4 linked regions of the Mus musculus genome follow. The protein of the gene in region 1 interacts with the protein of each later gene in a pairwise test. Links are inferred from orthologs where the notes say so. Each region holds a gene or a part of one and is shown in the gene's direction. Other genes may lie near its edges.

Region 1 (4,127 bases):
TTTTGTTACTTTTTAGATATGGCCTTACTCCGAAGCTCAGGCATTTAAAGTCATTATTTACTATGGCTGCTTGCTTACTTTCTAATGTGTGCGCAGAGGTAATAGGACCACTTGCAGGGGTTCTTTCTCATACTGTATGTGTCTAAGGATTGAATTTACATAGCTAGGCTTACAGGCGAGTACCTTAATTCCCACTATGTCATCCATCTTTTAGGTCCTTGTAGCTCAAGTTTCCTGAATATTTTCCATTTAGTTGGTTGACCCGGTGATTTGGAAATCCAGATACAAAAGGCTGACTGCATTGTAATATAAATGTTATTGAAAGTGGCTAAGCCGGGCAGTGGTGGCACACGCCTTTAATCCCAGCACTCGGGAGACAGAGGCAGGCAGATTTCTGAGTTTGAGGCCAGGCCTGGTCTACAACGTCAGTTTCAGGACAGCCAGAGCTACACATAGAAACCCTGTCTCGAACCCCCCTCCCCCCGCCAAAAAAAAAAAAAAAGAAAAAAAAGAAAAAGAAAAAGAAAAGAAAAGAAAGAAAAAAAGAAAAGAAAAAGGAAGTGGCTAAAGTTATTTAATTTTTAAAAAATGTGTCTGCTAGAAGACTTTACCCTATATACATGATGCGCACATTTCTAGTCTCTCCAGAATACTTTTCTGGGGTCTAGCACATACCCCTACTCCATTTGATTGCATGGAATAACACAAACTAAAAGATACACTGCCTAATTGTTGAAAGAGGAGATGCTGTCTCAGACTTGCGTTAGGAAAATGGTAACCTTTTTCCTCTAGAACTGGGAGGATTTGATTCTAGTCAAGTCATTGGAAGCAACGTGTTGTGTCTTAGATAAGCCACGAGGCTGTTTTGGGCGTGAATTTGTCCTTCAGGTATTTGGTATCTGAGGTCTGCACGTTTATGATAACTTTCCCCGGAAAGCCCGGTGCAATGGAACGCGTCTTCGGTTTGACACTAGCCCGAGGGACGGGAGGCGGGAGTCAGCAGTCACAGCCCGGAACCTTAAACTAGGGACCCGGGCCGCGGGCTTCTCCGGCTCACGTCACTAGGGCGCGACGCCTACTCTTCCAGAAGCCCCGGCACATGAGGTCCCACGGTGAAGTCGAGTTCCGGGACAATAAGACACATCACTCTTGAGTCCCCAGGAGGTTTGGATCTCAGCATCCCTGTCCTAGGTTGACCACCACAGGGCACAAGGCCCGGAAGCTCCGACAGCCCCTCCAGGAACCTGTAGAACTGAGTATCAGAGCGGCTGCGCAGGGCACGTGCTCATCCTCCCCGGAGTGCCGGCGATTGGCTGTGACGCAACTTCCGGCGTGAGCGGCGAAAGCCGGGAGGGCGAGCGAGAGAGCAAGCAGCCAGCAGGCGGGCGGGCGGGTGGCCGGCCGGCACGGAGGGAGGGGACGAGCAAGCGGTGAGCAAGCCAGCGAGGGTGCCCGGGTCCCGAGGGCAACGGAGATTCCTCAGGCCCCTCCGGTGCCCTCCCCGGAGCCCAGAGCACCTCCGGCACCCAGCGGAGCGGACACGGCCCGGCCTGGCCATGGCCTCGTTGCTGAAGGTGGATCAGGAAGTGAAGCTCAAGGTAGCGGCATAGCTCCGGCCCCCTCATCCCTCCCTTCGAACCCCCAGCAGTCGGATCTGCTCCCCACTCCCTATGTCGTCTTTGTCTCCCTGGGGACACCAGCTCTGAGCTTCCGCCTGGCTCAACCCAGCCCCCCACGCCTGGAGACGGCATTGGAGAGGACCGTATAGGGTGGCTTTCTGTCCTGCTTCTGGTGATGGAGTGCACCAGGGACTCCTCCGCGGACACGTGTTAAACTCAATGCTTTAGGCTAATGACAGGTGGAAGTCCCCTGGCCCAGCCACGTCCCCGCCCCCGGACGCTGCCACTGACCCTGCCCTTGGAGGCTGGCTTACTGCGTAGGATGGGGCCAGGTCTGGGTGGGAGTTGGCACGTTTGTGAGCTCACTTCTTCCAGTCTGGCTTTTGTCTGCTTATGAAATTGAGAGGGTTTTAGACAACTGGAGGGAGGGACAAAGGGAGGTGAGGGGTGGGTAGGAAGGGAGAGAAGGGGAGACAGGTGCTGGCCTGTAACCCGAACATCCTCTCCCGAGATGGAGAAATGGATCTTGAAAAAGATGAAGTATTTGCAGTCTGGGGGCCTCTCACCTTCTAATTATAATTTCAAGGTGAGGGCGAGACAGCTGGATTTGGGGTTCCCCATCCATGCCCTTGTATCACTAGGTGTTAAGTTGCTCTCTCTGTTCATTGTAGGTTGATTCTTTCAGAGAGCGGATCACAAGTGAGGTGAGTGTTGTAAAGGAGAAAAGTGGTGATGGTTAATAGCTGGGGGTGTCCCCAAAAGATCTGTAGTGAGGGACTGTCCCACGTTTATTAATTCAGGTGTATTCTCTCTGTCTAGGCAGAAGACTTGGTGGCAAATTTTTTCCCAAAGAAGTTACTAGAACTTGATAGTTTTTTGAAGGTGAGAGACACTTTTGTTTCTTTAAATTACTTCTTTGGTCCCTGTCTTTGTGACAGGCGGGGCAGATTGTGTGTTGATTCTGTTCTCTTGTGTACTGTAAAGCATTCTTTTTTTTCTTCGATTTCACAAGAAATACTCCTCTCTCTCTCTCTCTCTTTCTCTCTCTCCTTGTTTTTGATTTTGTTTTAAACTTACACTAATACTGTTTTGGGGTGAATGCCTCTCTTTCAGGAACCAATTCTAAATATCCATGACCTAACTCAGATCCACTCAGACATGAACCTCCCAGTCCCTGACCCCATTCTCCTCACCAATAGCCACGATGGACTGGATGGTGTGAGTGTCTTGCATTTATGTTTGTGTTCTTAGTATTTTATGTTTTGGTAAGCTTGGGGATGTCCGGAGTATGTGGGATTTGCCTGTGGGGTCTGGGGTTCTGTTGTAGGTGTGGTGATTGTAGGATGCTACTTTTTGGACCATTAGTTTCAGTTTTGGCAAGGTAAGTTATGTTAGTGCTGCTCTCAATGTTAGCCCAGGTTTTCATTAGTTCTAAACTAGCCACAGGCTTCCTTCAGCTACCTGGCTTTCCGCCTGCTTGGGAATAAGCCTTTTCTGTTCAGTGTGCTGTGCTCACAGATGGGAGGAACAGCTGGTTTTGCTGCACAGCTGCAGTCTCTGTCTTTACTTGCTCTTTGCTTTGTTTTTGAGACAGCATCTGACTATGTAGCCCTGGCTAGCTTGGAACTCCTTATGCAGGCTAGGTAGACCAGGTTGGCTTCAGACTCATTAAGATCTGCCTGCCCTGCCATCTAAATGCTAGGCTATTGCCAGCTGGCACTGATAGTGTATTAGTTGCATGTCTGTATTGTGTTAGAACGCCGCCTATGCTATAGTTTGATCTAGATTCCTGTGGCTTGGTATTTTGTTGCTGTTGCTTGGTTTTTTTTTGTTTTGTTTTGTTTTTTCTGTCCTAGAAGTTGAGCCTAGGGTCTTGTGCATGCTATATAAATGCTGTACCGGGCTGTTGAGATGGCTCAACGGGTAAAAGCACCGACTGTTCTTCTGAAAGTCATGAGTTCAAATCCCAGCAACCATATGGTGGCTCACAACCACCCGTAACAAGATCTGACGCCCTCCTCTGGTGTGTCTGAAGACAGCCACAGTGTATTTACATATAATTTTTACATATAAGATTTATTTACATATAATAAATAAATCTTAAAAAAAAACTATAAATGCTGTACCACTGATTTATATTCCTAGCTTTCAGGACTTTCTTAATTATAACTAATTAAGCCGAGTACGGTGGCTGAGCATTCAGCTTGCCTGGAGAAGGAGAATTGTGTGTTCATGACCAGCCTGGGATACATAGGAAGTTGAAGGCTAGCTGGGACACATACTGGGATACTTTCTTTAAAAATCAAGATAAACCTGCAGTTAGGAGACGCCTCAGTAGTCTGAATCCTTAGCTCCTAACATTACTTCTACCATATAGAAGGTAATGGGCTGAGATTGCTGAATCAGGAATTTCTTCATATTAGAGCCAAAGGATCCATGCATACTCCCTCAGTTATCCCCTACCTGCCTTGATTGCTTTCTTCTTATTTTTGAAGTGGAACTTTCCCC
Region 2 (4,033 bases), on another chromosome or scaffold:
TTATTATTTCCCCAATTCTAATGATAAACACATTTGTTTGATTTGCTTGCACAAAAATCACATTGAGAGTATGAAGCTGACGTACAAGCCCAGAGATTCTGGCTTCAGAACCTTCGTGCATAAATACATTGAACAATCTCTCCTTGTATCTTTAAAGGGTAGAAGGCAAAAAATAATCCCTCATCCATCTGAAAAAAATAAATTGACAAACCTATTTAAGGTAGAAGTGCTGAAAGCATAGTCTGATGCCACAATTAACCTGAAGAATCACCTGAGGGGGCTCACTGTAGACTTTCTCTGAATAATCCTCCAATACAAAGCACGCTTTCTCCTACTTCATAACACTTCTGTGAGGTGGGGTGTGTGTGTGTGTGTGTGTGAAGGCAATTATCAATCAATTGACGCTCTTACCCTACTGCTAGACTGATCTCTGAGAAATCAAGAGTCCCAAGGCCGCGCTCTTCAGTGCTTCCAGGAATCACTACAGAAACAAATGCCAGAAACAAACGTACAGCAGTCAGTTACCCCTAACCCTAGGCTTCTCCGTCGCCTCCGGAAACGCCCCCTCCTCAGGTCCTAACCCCGGCGGGAAAAGCCTGTGTTTTTAAAGGGCTAATTAAAAAATAATAAATAAATAAATAAATAAATAAGAAAGAAAGAAAGAAGAAAAAATAAATAAATGAACGGCCCTTAAAGGTAACTGCGCGGCTTCCAGAGGTTTCCAGTCTGGTCACATCACCTGAGGGGGCGCGGCTGGGGTTCCAGACCCGCCTCAGAGCAGCTAGGCCTCAGGAGGCCCCAGGCCTGGGCCCGGCCGCCACCTCTCGTCAGGCGTCCGTTTCCACACCAAACCTGCGGGCCCGGCGCGGAGGAGGCCCACGCTCCCGTTACCAGGCCCCGCCAGGCAGTTCTGCCCTGGGTGTCTGGCGTCCTAGCTTCCCCGCCCCCCTAGGGCCTTTCCTCCATCCCAGCCGCCATCTCGGGTCTGTTACCTCATCTCTTTCCCCGCGTCCGTCCACCTCAGGGCCCGACCCGCACAGCGTACCTCAGCGAGGCGGTCTCCGCCGAGCTGTGTGCGTCGCGACGCGGGAAGGGGGCTAGGGGCGGGGATGGTGGCCAGGGGCGGGGCGGGGCCCTGGGGCGAGGGGCGGGGCAGGTGTCTCCAGACAGCCAATCAAGACTCGGGGCGCTCCAAGGGGCGGCCGCACGCGTCTGGAGGTGAAAGGAGCTGGTCCCGGGCACCGAACTCAAGCTCGCAGCCAGTGCAGCTGTTCCAGAGGCTGTGGCAGGGGACGGCGAAGGCCAAAAGCGGGAGGCAGGGGACGAGGATGAGTGGACCAGCGGGACTTGCATACCTGGACCGTCGCGAGCGGGTTCTCAAGCTAGGCGAAAGTTTCGAGAAGCAGCCGCGCTGTGCCTTCCACACCGTGCGCTGTGAGTGCAGACTGTACCCCGGGTTCCTTCTGGGATGGGAGGGTGGTATGGAGACAGACTCCTCCGGATTCTGTAATTCTGTCCCCGCCGCTCTTTGCTCCCCGGGAGACCAGATGGCACAGTGATCCACTACCCAGTTGCCAGCCTCTGTGCAGGCACCTGGCGTCCCACAGTGTAGGAGAACCCTGGAAGGGTTTAAGTGAGACTGACAGACCTGAGAGGAAGTTTTGTGGGACGATCTGCACGGGTGGCTGTGGAGACTAGCGTGACAAGTGGATGGTGCAGAGTTTGAAAAGGTGACAGACAGATGGAACAAAGGACCGAATGCAGGGCAAAAGTGATGTGGAGAGGCCACAAGGACATTTCTTCCCCATTCTGGCTGATGAGGGTTCCCATTTAGTTTGTTCTTGGGAAGAGATTGTCAGCTGTCTCAATCGTTTGTATCTCTTTCCATCTCAGATTTCATGGTCAACTAAGTAATTACTGATTATCAAAAATTGAAAGATTTTTTTATCTAGTTTCTTTACTTTAAAAATCTACCTCCTAATGATTTCTACCCTTTGGTGTTTTGTTCTCTGGGATCTATTTTAATAGGTTATCTCTAATATTGTTGAAAAAGAGGTTATAATGAGCCTTTTCGTTTTAGTAATTAAATGAGATGCCAGCACGAAAAATATAACTTAATTTTGTATGTAAAACTTCTTTTTTGCATAATAGGCCACAGAATTCTAGCGCATAAGGGAAAGGTCACTGAGTTGTGACCTCTGTGTGTGTGTGTGTGTGTGTGTGTGTGAAATTGTAGATTTTTTTTCACATCTCTTTTGCAGCCCAGCTCTTCTTTACTGTCTGCTTGTCCTACATTCTCCACCATTCTGTCCTTTTCCTTACAAGGTTTATATTCTGAAAAACACTCATTTAAAACTCAGTCTTCAAAGTTTAAGTTGTAGACAATTCATCTATAATAACTCAGAGTAAATGTAGGAAGAACCAATGGGTTTAACCTTCCATTGATTATATTTAAGCTTTATAAAAAGGCTGCATTAAGCAAAAATATCATGTTTTGGTGGAATAAATGGGAGAAGTTTACCAACAGAACTTCAGTAGTGCTCCTTGTTTATTTTGCTCTGGGTTACCATCCAGAGTTCCCCACAATGAATCAGTGAGTGTTGTGCAGCCATAGTCTCTCTCCCTCTCTCCCTCCCTCTCTCTCTCCCTCTCTCTCTCTCTCCCTCTCTCCTTCTCTCCCTCCCTCCCTCCCTCCCTCCCTCCCTCCCCTCCCTCCCCCTCTCTCTCTCTGTCTCTCTGTCTCTCCCCTTTCCAAAAGCAAGGTACTGTTCTTAACTGACCTCTCAATGCCCCTTTCCCAAGTACTATGTCCTTTTCCTCTTCCTTCTTCTCAGGCATGCAGTGATCTTTTGTTTTTCAGTACAAAGTTTAAAGTTACAAAAAAGTTATTTAGTGATAGATATGTTTATTTTTTTTATGTGTATGTGTGGGCCTGAGTCTATATATGCACATCATATTATGCAGTGCCCTCAGAGACCGCAAGAGAGCCTCAAGTCCCTTGTAAGTGGAGTTAACCGTGGCTATCAGTGACCTGATGCTGGTGCTGAGAAGGACCCAAGTTCTCTGTAAGAACAGCCAGTGGTGCTCTTAACTTCTGAAACATCTCTCCAGTCCCTCGATGTATATATATTTTACAGCTTAGATATGCATTCTCTTCCTACAGATGCAAATCCAAAATTAAATGAATGAAATACAGCTTTTGAAAAGTGCCTTGCAGGTGTTCCTAAGACTTTTATTTATGGGTTCTTTACAGGATTAATTACAGCGTTAGAACTCAAACCCAGGGCTTTGTGCATACTAGTCAAGTGCTCTATCGCTGAGCTACATCCCGGCTTTACAAAAGTTCTTAAGATGTTGAAAACATATTTTCCAAATTAGAGTCGGATAATCGAGCCACAAGAATGACAATAAACAAGCATATGCCAAAAGACAAAGCATAATCACAAGCACAGTAAACAAGCTTAGACTCCACCCTTAGTCCTGCAGAAGACTTAAAAAAATACTGTCTCCCCCCCCCCCCGCCCCACCCTATCCAATTAAGTATAATATTACACAGAATCCTTTTAGGTTTATTTGAACAGGTTCATTTCCAGTGTCCCCTCAGTCTCAAGAACTCGTAAGGAATGGAAACTATATCATATAGTATTTGACATTTATGCAGAGCAGGTGGACCTAATTTAAACCACTCAAGCCAATGCTATTTGAGATTAAGTATTGTTTTGTCTCATATATGGGATAAATCTTGCCTATCTTTTATACGAATGCTTCAGATAAGCCTGTATGTGAACCCTGAACTTCACCAAACCTGTGTGTAACGTGACTTTGGGAACAGTCTCTAAGCTTTCAACCACAGTATTCATAGGTGAAAATGGTAATATCTACCTTTTTGGATTCTTTCCTAGAGAGGTTGTGGTAACATAAAAAAGAATCTAACATGGTATTTAGAACATGGTAAAGAATAAATAATAGCCACCATTAGTTTTTATGAGTTCTATTCAATTATGTACGAGGAGTACTGATGCATGCAACTTGC
Region 3 (4,137 bases), on another chromosome or scaffold:
TGAATGCAAACAGGTCACTGGGCACCCACCACATCTACTCAAAACCAGGGCATCACCTGAACCTGAGTCAACTAGATGAAATACATGCACAACATCCCAATCCAGACACACACCCTCCTCAAGTCTTCAATGCTCTCATATGAGGTAGGTGACCCAAACCAAACCACTGCAACAACAGAAAACACGCTGCTAGCCTAGCAGAGAAGGCAATACGTACCCTGGCTGTGTAGTCCAAGGGTGCTCAAGCTGGACAGCTGAACATATGAGACTGCCCAGCCAGGGTGGAGGTCTTTAATACTCTCCTCTTCCCCTTTCAGTTTCTTTGTTTGTTTCTTTTTTTTTTTCTTTTTTTTTTAGAAGAGACTATTGTTTTTCTTATCTGCTTTGCCACACCCTTTCAGTTTCACTTACTGAGGGGTTTCCTAGAAATCACTCAGGTTCCCAAAAGCATTTGAGCCATTTGCCCAGCTTTCTTCAAGAGCAAGTCCAGCCACTGGCTAGCTACTTGGGCCGTGGGAGGAGGCGGCTGAGGCCAACCAAACTCTCAAGAGCCCGGAGCTACTTGTCATTGCATTGCATCAGCTGTCCCTTTCTTCAGGTTGACCGCCATATGACCTCCCCACCCTCTTCCTTTCCCGCCCCCACAGCATCATTGCAATTGTGTGTAGTGTAGCGACAAATAGGACGGGCATATCGCTTTGTACATCACTGCCTTCCCGAAGCAGCCTTGCTCTGAAGTTGTGCACTGCAGCGGAAAGATAGGCTTTTAATGTTGGACATAGAGCTTGGTGTGCTATCATAAAACCGTGGGCAAGTAGCGTTCCTTCTCTGCTTCTCTTTAGGATTCCTCATCTGTGAAACGGGCACCAGGGGCTTTACAAACACTTCGTACAGGGCAAAGAGATCCTACAGGGCAAAGCCCAGGCGGTGGGAAACGATGACAGGCTGGGTGGGCGGCGCCGCCGCAGCCTCCCGGTCCCTCGTGGTACAGGTGCCCAGAGAACAGACAGCCCGGTTCCGAGCTGGATCCTCGGGGCGCGGCGCCGGGGCGTCAACCGAAGGCCCCGGCGCCACCTCGGCATCCCTCCCTCGCTCCCGGCGCAGTGACCACCCCCTCCTCACTTACCGGCGGCCCCCACTTCGGCCCCACCAGTCAGCACCCCCAAGTTCAGCCACCGGTACCTCTTGGGCGTCCGTGGAAACACCAGCCGGCTGGAATAACTTCCGGTCTCGGCATGCCGCTATTGGCTGTCCAGGCAGAGGAGGGCAGAGACCATCTCCGATTGGCTGAAATTGCTGGCGTCGTGGTGGAACGCGACTGGGCGGCCCGAGTGCTGGCCGGACCGTTGTAGGGGTGGACCAAGAGCTTCCGTGTGTGTGTGTGTGTGGTGAGCGGCGGGCCCGGGAGGGAGGGGGCCGGGATGTGGCGGCCGCATGCTTCTCGCTTCTTAGCGCCGGGCTCAGCTCGCCGCTTGCCTTCCTGTTCTTCCCGTTCATTCCTAGAGTGCTGTGCTCTGAACTCTTTACCCATTAGTGTTGACAGCTTGGCTAACTTACTCATCCTTCAAAACCCGTGTCTGTTTTTTGTTTCCCATCCTGTATCCATGGCCTCTGGGGCAAGATCCGTGTGAATTTCTACCCACATCAGATCTATCATAGTGCCTAACACAGAGTAGGAAACTAGGACCCGTGTGTTGAACGGGAAAATTCTGTCTTTAACTTTCCCAGTTCCCTGCCCCATCACCTTGCTGTCTGCAAATTCATCCAGATTGAGGCTTCTTGGACAGTGAGCTAAGCACACAGGACACCCTGCCCCATGTATCCGTGCTCCCTTTAGCTTTTCAGTATTCGACTTCAGTCCTCAGTCCTCTTTTTCCCCCATTTAGCCTCTTCCTCTTGGTTTCACCTCCCCCCCCCCCCCTTTCTCATGGCATTTTTTGGACTTGGGTACAAGATGGCTACCATCATCTCCTAAACGGTGTGCATCTCTCTCAGCCGTCTCCCTTCATATATGTTTTCTTGACTCACCCTTGACTCCTCTTCATTGGTATTGGTTCTGTTTTAGTCACAGTATTGTGAACACCTTAGTTCCCTCAACCTCTTCAGAGCGTCACACTGGTGTAGTCTCTCTGAGACCTGTCTCAGCTCCAGAAAAAGATGCAGTCTTGGGCCCAGCTACCCTGTATCCTTTTCCTTTTGAGTTCACAAGTCCACGACATCGTCTGGCTCACGAGTCAGGGATGTTTTTGTCTTTCTATGGCTTGGGAGTGTGATGAATGAAGGACATCATTTACTGTTTTGCCTACTGTGGCAGATGTTGAGTGAGAGAATGAAATCTATGTGTGGTGCATCTGGTGTCCAGTCCCTTGCTGTCGTTCATTTTCTATCCCCTGTGGAGCTGATGAGCCACACTGTCCTCAGATCTGCTATAGGCCTCTTTTGTGAGTCTACCCTGCAGATAACCGTGTAGCTTAAAACCCAGGCTGTGACCGAGCTCTATATAGTATGGTGGTGGGAATCAGATGGGTTTCATTTGAGGAACCAGGAGATTGGCCTCAACTCCCTGCTGAATATGTAGAGATCAAATTATTTGCAGAGCATGGGTCTATCTCTGTGTGGTTAGTCTCTAGTGGGATCTTAGTTTGGTTGGAGAGTGGAAAGCTGGTTTTAGAAGTCCTTTTTCGAAGATGTTTCTAAATGTGGACATTGTTACCTGCCTGGATTCAGCTGCTGGTAGGAATGATAGCTACAGGCATTGGATGATGAGCAGACTTGTATGGCAGTGGGATTCTTAGGGCAAATAATGCCATTAGGGGACAGATGTGGAAGGCTTTGAGTGGAATTTTGGAGCCCAGTGTGTGATCTGACATGGTGATATATACTTGTAATGCCAGCACTCTGAAGGCTGAGGCAGGAAGACTGGACTAAGACCAGCCTGGCTTACATAGTGAGTACTTGTAATGGGCTAGGGAGGTTCATCTGTTAAAGACACTTGTTTTGAAATCATGAAGACCAAAGTTTGGATCCCAGCACCCATGTAACAAGCCATTTCACACTTGCTTGTAACTCAACCTGTAAGAGGTCACAGACAGACTATGTCTCGAATAGATAGAAAGTGAAACAGCACAGGACTCCATCTTCTGGCCTCCTTGTATTTAGGAGAACAGGTTTGCACATTCGCATAGGCATGCATACACTTACACAGCAAACACACAAGCATAAAAAAAGAAGCGGGCTAGCTGGTCCATGGCCCAGGCTTGCACTTTGTCCCACTCCACCCTCTGCTGGCTGAGATATGCTCAGCATCCTTATTTTCTTTCTGTCTGTACTCACAGAATTAATACTGAGTTTTAGACCAAAGCAATTCTTACTGAGAACTAGCTGATAGAAATTTGTGAATGCTCAGAATTCCAGGAAAAACTTTTGAATGGAAATTTAGTACCCTGTGAACCTATGCATTTGGGGTGAAACAAACAGATTTGGATGCCATGTTTAGAATTGCTCTTGCCACAGTTGGGTTGACTGGTGACTTAGGACCCAACCTGGGCTTTGTACGTGCCCGGGCAGTACTCTGCAGTTGCTCTGTTTCTCTGGACACGGATTTTTTCTTTTTTTTTGTTTGTTTGTTTTTAGAGACAGGGTTTCTCTGTGTGACCCTGGCTGTCCTTGAACTCACTCTGCAGATCAGGCTGCCTCGAATTCAGAAATCCACCTGTCTCTGCCTCCTGAGTGCTGGGATTATAGGTGTACATCATCATCTCCAGGCTGAGGTTGTTTGTTTTTAAAGACTGGGTCTTGCCTAGGTATCCCAGGGTGTCCTTGAAGTCATAATCCTCCTGCCTCAGCATCACGAATGCTAGGCTCAAAGGTGGGTGCTGCCATACCCAGGTCCCTCTTGCCCTCGTGCTCTTTTTCTACATTCTCTTTTTTCTTCTCTTCTGCTTTGCAGTGCGGAGGGGCAAACCCAGAACCTTGCATGTGTTGACAAGAATTCTGTCAGCGAGCTTTAGCCCCAGCCCCACAGAGGTTTCCATTTAAAAAATTATCTGTAAAACCAGGAAGTGGAGGCCCAGGCCTTTAATCCCAGCACTAAGGAAGCAGAGGCAGAAGGATCTCGGTAAGTGTGAGGTCAGCCTG
Region 4 (4,109 bases), on another chromosome or scaffold:
GGCTCCACCCTGTCCACGACCCAGCCTCTCACCACGGGACTCTAGGCAAGTGGGAGGGGTAGGCTCTAGCCCTGAACCCACACAGCTGGGTTTGATCCCCACTTTATCACACCTATGATATCTGTGGGTTCCTCAGACTCTAAGTGCTCAAAAATCAGAAGCCCCCAAACCTGCTTCAGTGACACCTGCTTCCCCCCACACACCTCAAAAACACACTAATTGCCCTGGCTCATACTGGGGTATGAAAAACCTAGAGCTGTGGTCTCTGTCTTTGATACTGAGCTCTGTCTAGGGTCCTGTGTGGCTGTCACAAGGGTGAGCTCCTGGTACAGAGCAGATAGAGGCCATGTTCAGCACCCGGCAGAGCTGGGATGGCTACTGAACTTGTAAGTTCCTGGCCCAGAGCACAGACAATCTGAAATCAGGAAAGCCACTTGGGTCTGTGCTGCTCTAGGCAAGTCACTTAAGGTTTCTCTGGGTCTCAATTTCTATCTCTCAAAAGCCTGGATTTAGTTTTGTGTGTTAAGGCTCATGCAAGGAAGGTTAGAATGCAGTCAGCAAACACCTGAGGGGGCTTTCTGAAGAGGGAAGATGGCAGATGAGGCTTTTCCAAGTGTCCTTGCTGTGACAGGGCCATCCAGGCACAGGAAGTGCAGACCCGTGGTTGAGTTGGGGTGGAGTTTGGAGTAAGGTGGGGGTGTTGGGGATGGGTTGGGGGTGGTGGGAGTGTGGGAATCACTCCCAGACTGATTTTCCAGGTCTCACAGCTGCCCCCTGGGAGGTAGCTGGCCCTGTCTGGCCTCTGTCAGGGAGGTCATCACAGTGCCTCCCCCCTTACTCCAGAGACACCAACTGAAAGAGAGTCTCCGCAGTACTCAGGAACCCCAAAATTGTTGCAAGGCAAATGTTGGGGTGCATTTGTCATGGGAGTCCCAGGTGACACTCTAACTACCTAGTGGGTAAACTGAGACCCGCTCAGAGGGATGCAGGTGTCTCGCGGAGGCGCCTCTCTTCGCTTTGGCCTCTCAGATCTCTGTCGCGCGGTGCACGTATACCCCATTTTTCTCTGTCTCAGTCTCCTTCCTCTTCCTTCCAACACTTTCCCGCCACGGCATCCCTTGCGCTGGGCACCCAGCGCCGGCGCTATTCCGGAGGAATCTCCCGGCCGCAGACCACGCCCTCGCCCACGCCCGCGTCATGCCTCCCACCTCCTGGCAGAGGCTTGCTGCCATTGGCTCCTTCGTACACTGCCTGTGCGCTACCATTTGCTGAGCCAGTGAGCGTTTAGAGGGGGCGAGCCCTTTCTCGGGGGCGTGGCCTCCTAGCCAGCGGCCGGGCTCAGATCCAGCGGCCAATGCCTCTGGCCCCACAGAGGCACCTACAGAAAACTGAAGGCTTGACACATCCCGAGGAGCAGGTGAGCGATGGGGTCCTGCATTGGCTATCCTGGGTTCTTTCCGTCCCCTCCTATCCCCACACCGTCCTCTGTATATCCCGCCTCAGTTTCCTCTGTATACCTATTACTGACTGTGGGAGCATGGGTGTTGTGAGCAGGTTGCTGTGGGCTACTGTAATAGTCCTAACACATGTCCTCAAGAGGACACTTGATGGACTTGGCTCTGTACAAGTGTGCAGCCTGACTCCAGAATGGTCTAGGTATTCTCTGAGGTAGCCAGCTGGACCCCACTGTGGCTCTGGCTGGTGCAGGGTTACCCTGACTGGGACTGGCACTTCAAGCTTCCCATTGCCCGAGGGCTTGAACTCAGTTTTACCATCTGGGAACTGGGACAGTGGCTGTCACATAATTGGCAGGTGACCTGATCCAGGTCTGCAGCCTCCTGGCTCTTTCAGTGTTGGTTTGGAGGATAAACTGGGGTCCAGAATATGGGCTGCGGATGGCCAGAGAGATGGAGACACTGTCTCCAGAACCATATTCTGGTTTGTCACCTTTGTGAGCAGCGGGGCTGGAGAGGGACAGGGTGGAACACTAAACTGGAAACAGGCCTCTGGGTCACTTCCCGAGCTCCAGGCTGTGACGCCTCTGAACACCTTGCCTTGGGGTTAGGACACAGCTCAGACAAACCTGACTCACTTGAACAAGTAACTTAATTATAAGCCTCAGTTTCCCTGTCTGACTTGGGACAGTTGTTTCGTGACTCCCTGAGGCTTCTTGGGGGTGCTTAAACAGACAAAAGAGAGGCTGAGCCAGGGTGGGCTACACACCGAGGCTGTCTCTAAAACAAAAGGGACCCTAGGGTGTAGCCCAGTGCGTAGAGTGCTCACCTAGTAAGCAAGAGGCCTTGGGTTCCGGCCCAAACACAACATATACCAGGACATTTACCCATTTACCCAGTGCTTAGAATAGAGGCAGGTGGATGCCTGTAAGTTTGAGGCCAGGTCTACAAAGTGAGTTCCAGGCTAGCCATAACTATGTATAGAGATCCTGTAACAAACAACAGCCAACAGAGAAAGAGAGAGAGAGAGAGAGAGAGAGAGAGAGAGAGAGAGAGAGAGAGAGAGAGAGAACAGGAATGTAGGCTTTGAGTGCCAAACTTCCTGTTTTTCTGTCCTGGGACCTCAAAGTGGCCGCCTCTTCTCCACATGGAATGTCCTTGCACTTGAGACCTTTGTGCGTGCTGAGCCCTCTACAACCCTGGCAGATCAACACAGGCAGCGACAACTTTAAAACATAATAAGTTCATGATCTGGGCCGCACCTAGGATGTGGGTGACTGGGAGGGATGAGGGCGGGGCCATGGGGACTGTACAATGTAACAGAACAAAGAGAGTCATCACAGAACACCTGCCCTGGGCCTTCCCACACATGGTGAGCCAGACTTGGGCCAGGGCTGCTAGTTCCGTAATGGGTGAGTGGTGGATCCTGAGGGTATGAAGAGACATAGAGACTTGTCCCTCAGTTTACTCTCTCAGCCCTAGGCAAGCTAGGACTCACCTCACAAAAATCTGATTCCGTATGAGGGGACTCAGCATACAGGCCAAATAATCATGGCCACAGGAAGGCGTGCCACCCACTGACTCAGGTGCCATCCAGGGCTTAGTGGAGGCTTAAAGAGAGTGAGACTTGATCCGGGGGCCCAGTGAGCTCACTCCTCCAAGAACCCCAGTGTCTCCCCTGCATGGTTTTTCTGAGCCCCAACCCTGTGTTTCCCCATGTGGAAACCAGCGGAGGTAACCACTCCAGAGGGTGCTGTGCAGGTGGGGTCTTCTGTAGTCCTGACCAAAGAAAGAACCGTGGTAGGGTTGACCGTGTGCATAGCTCTGGAAGATTCCCAGACTAGATCATTAGGCTCCCAAATTTTAGGGTGGACCCCAGGGAAAGGTTGTAATGCAATGAGCTTCCAGGTAAGGGCTGGATTCAAGTCCCAGTTCTAGCCTGGTGTTATTCTGTGCATATCTGTCAGCTCCCAGGCCCCTGACTCAGTTTCTCCTTTTGTCATAACCATGAGAAGTTACTTAGTCATTTGATAAACTGTCCCTGAACACTGAGATAACTGAAGTGTGGTAGCTAATGTCGCCAGCACACAGCAGTGACTGAAGCTGGCCCAGTGCCCACCATCCTCCTGCCTCACAGTTGGTAATGCTGGACTCTGTCCTGAACTATAATAGTAACTGTAAGAAGAGGAAGGAACCGGGGAACTGAGTGTTCGTGGAGAGATCTGAGAGTTCCAGGGTAAAACAGCCACATAGCAACCTGAGGAAGACTATTGTAAGTGCCGGGCTCAGCATGTGTAAAGGTCCTGGGGCAGGACTGAGCCTGGTGTTCAAGAGGTGAATGGAGGAGGCACTGTGGCTGCAGCAGAGGGAGATGGGACCATGGAGGGATGAGGGCAGAGAGGGGAGCGAACTCAGTGCTCACAGGGGCTTCTGGCATTTCAGGAATCCTGGATAGGGTGAGAGGAACCAGGATGGAGGCTTCAGACCGTTGGAAATGGAAGAAGCCAATACATCCTGGGGCTGAATGTGCACACTGATAACCTTCATATTTCCCTTTTGTTAAAACCATGAGTGGATGTTGGGCGTGGTGGGACACACCTAAGAGGCTGGGCCAGGAGGATCATGGTAAATCCAAAGGTAGCCTGGGCTACAGCA

The links. The genes of interacting proteins can lie anywhere in the genome.
Region 2: the proteins of Psme3 (region 1) and Eaf2 interact in binary tests that used the Homo sapiens proteins (3 or more experiments, as listed by UniProt). The two-hybrid records come from large-scale screens. The link is inferred for Mus musculus from reciprocal best matches to the Homo sapiens genes PSME3 and EAF2.
Region 3: the proteins of Psme3 (region 1) and Wdr25 interact in binary tests that used the Homo sapiens proteins (3 or more experiments, as listed by UniProt). The two-hybrid records come from large-scale screens. The link is inferred for Mus musculus from reciprocal best matches to the Homo sapiens genes PSME3 and WDR25.
Region 4: the proteins of Psme3 (region 1) and Tnfaip8l1 interact in binary tests that used the Homo sapiens proteins (3 or more experiments, as listed by UniProt). The two-hybrid records come from large-scale screens. The link is inferred for Mus musculus from reciprocal best matches to the Homo sapiens genes PSME3 and TNFAIP8L1.

Annotation. Positions count from the first base shown.
Region 1 is NC_000077.6:101,314,891-101,319,017, forward strand, and holds the start of Psme3 (proteasome activator complex subunit 3), read left to right. Parts: upstream 1-1,322; 5' UTR 1,323-1,556; coding exon 1,557-1,598; intron 1,599-1,700; exon of another isoform or gene 1,701-2,130; coding exon of another isoform or gene 2,131-2,205; intron 2,206-2,290; coding exon 2,291-2,323; intron 2,324-2,438; coding exon 2,439-2,501; intron 2,502-2,732; coding exon 2,733-2,837; intron 2,838-4,127. UniProt on the Homo sapiens protein: Subunit of the 11S REG-gamma (also called PA28-gamma) proteasome regulator, a doughnut-shaped homoheptamer which associates with the proteasome. 11S REG-gamma activates the trypsin-like catalytic subunit of the proteasome but inhibits the chymotrypsin-like and postglutamyl-preferring (PGPH) subunits.
Region 2 is NC_000082.6:36,825,452-36,829,484, reverse strand, and holds the start of Eaf2 (ELL-associated factor 2), read left to right. Parts: upstream 1-1,225; 5' UTR 1,226-1,328; coding exon 1,329-1,434; intron 1,435-4,033. UniProt on the Homo sapiens protein: Acts as a transcriptional transactivator of TCEA1 elongation activity. Acts as a transcriptional transactivator of ELL and ELL2 elongation activities. Potent inducer of apoptosis in prostatic and non-prostatic cell lines.
Region 3 is NC_000078.6:108,892,943-108,897,079, forward strand, and holds the start of Wdr25 (WD repeat-containing protein 25), read left to right. Parts: upstream 1-1,329; 5' UTR 1,330-1,371; exon of another isoform or gene 1,372-2,947; intron 2,948-3,949; exon of another isoform or gene 3,950-4,117; intron 4,118-4,137.
Region 4 is NC_000083.6:56,161,190-56,165,298, forward strand, and holds the start of Tnfaip8l1 (tumor necrosis factor alpha-induced protein 8-like protein 1), read left to right. Parts: upstream 1-1,301; 5' UTR 1,302-1,417; intron 1,418-4,109. UniProt on the Homo sapiens protein: Acts as a negative regulator of mTOR activity.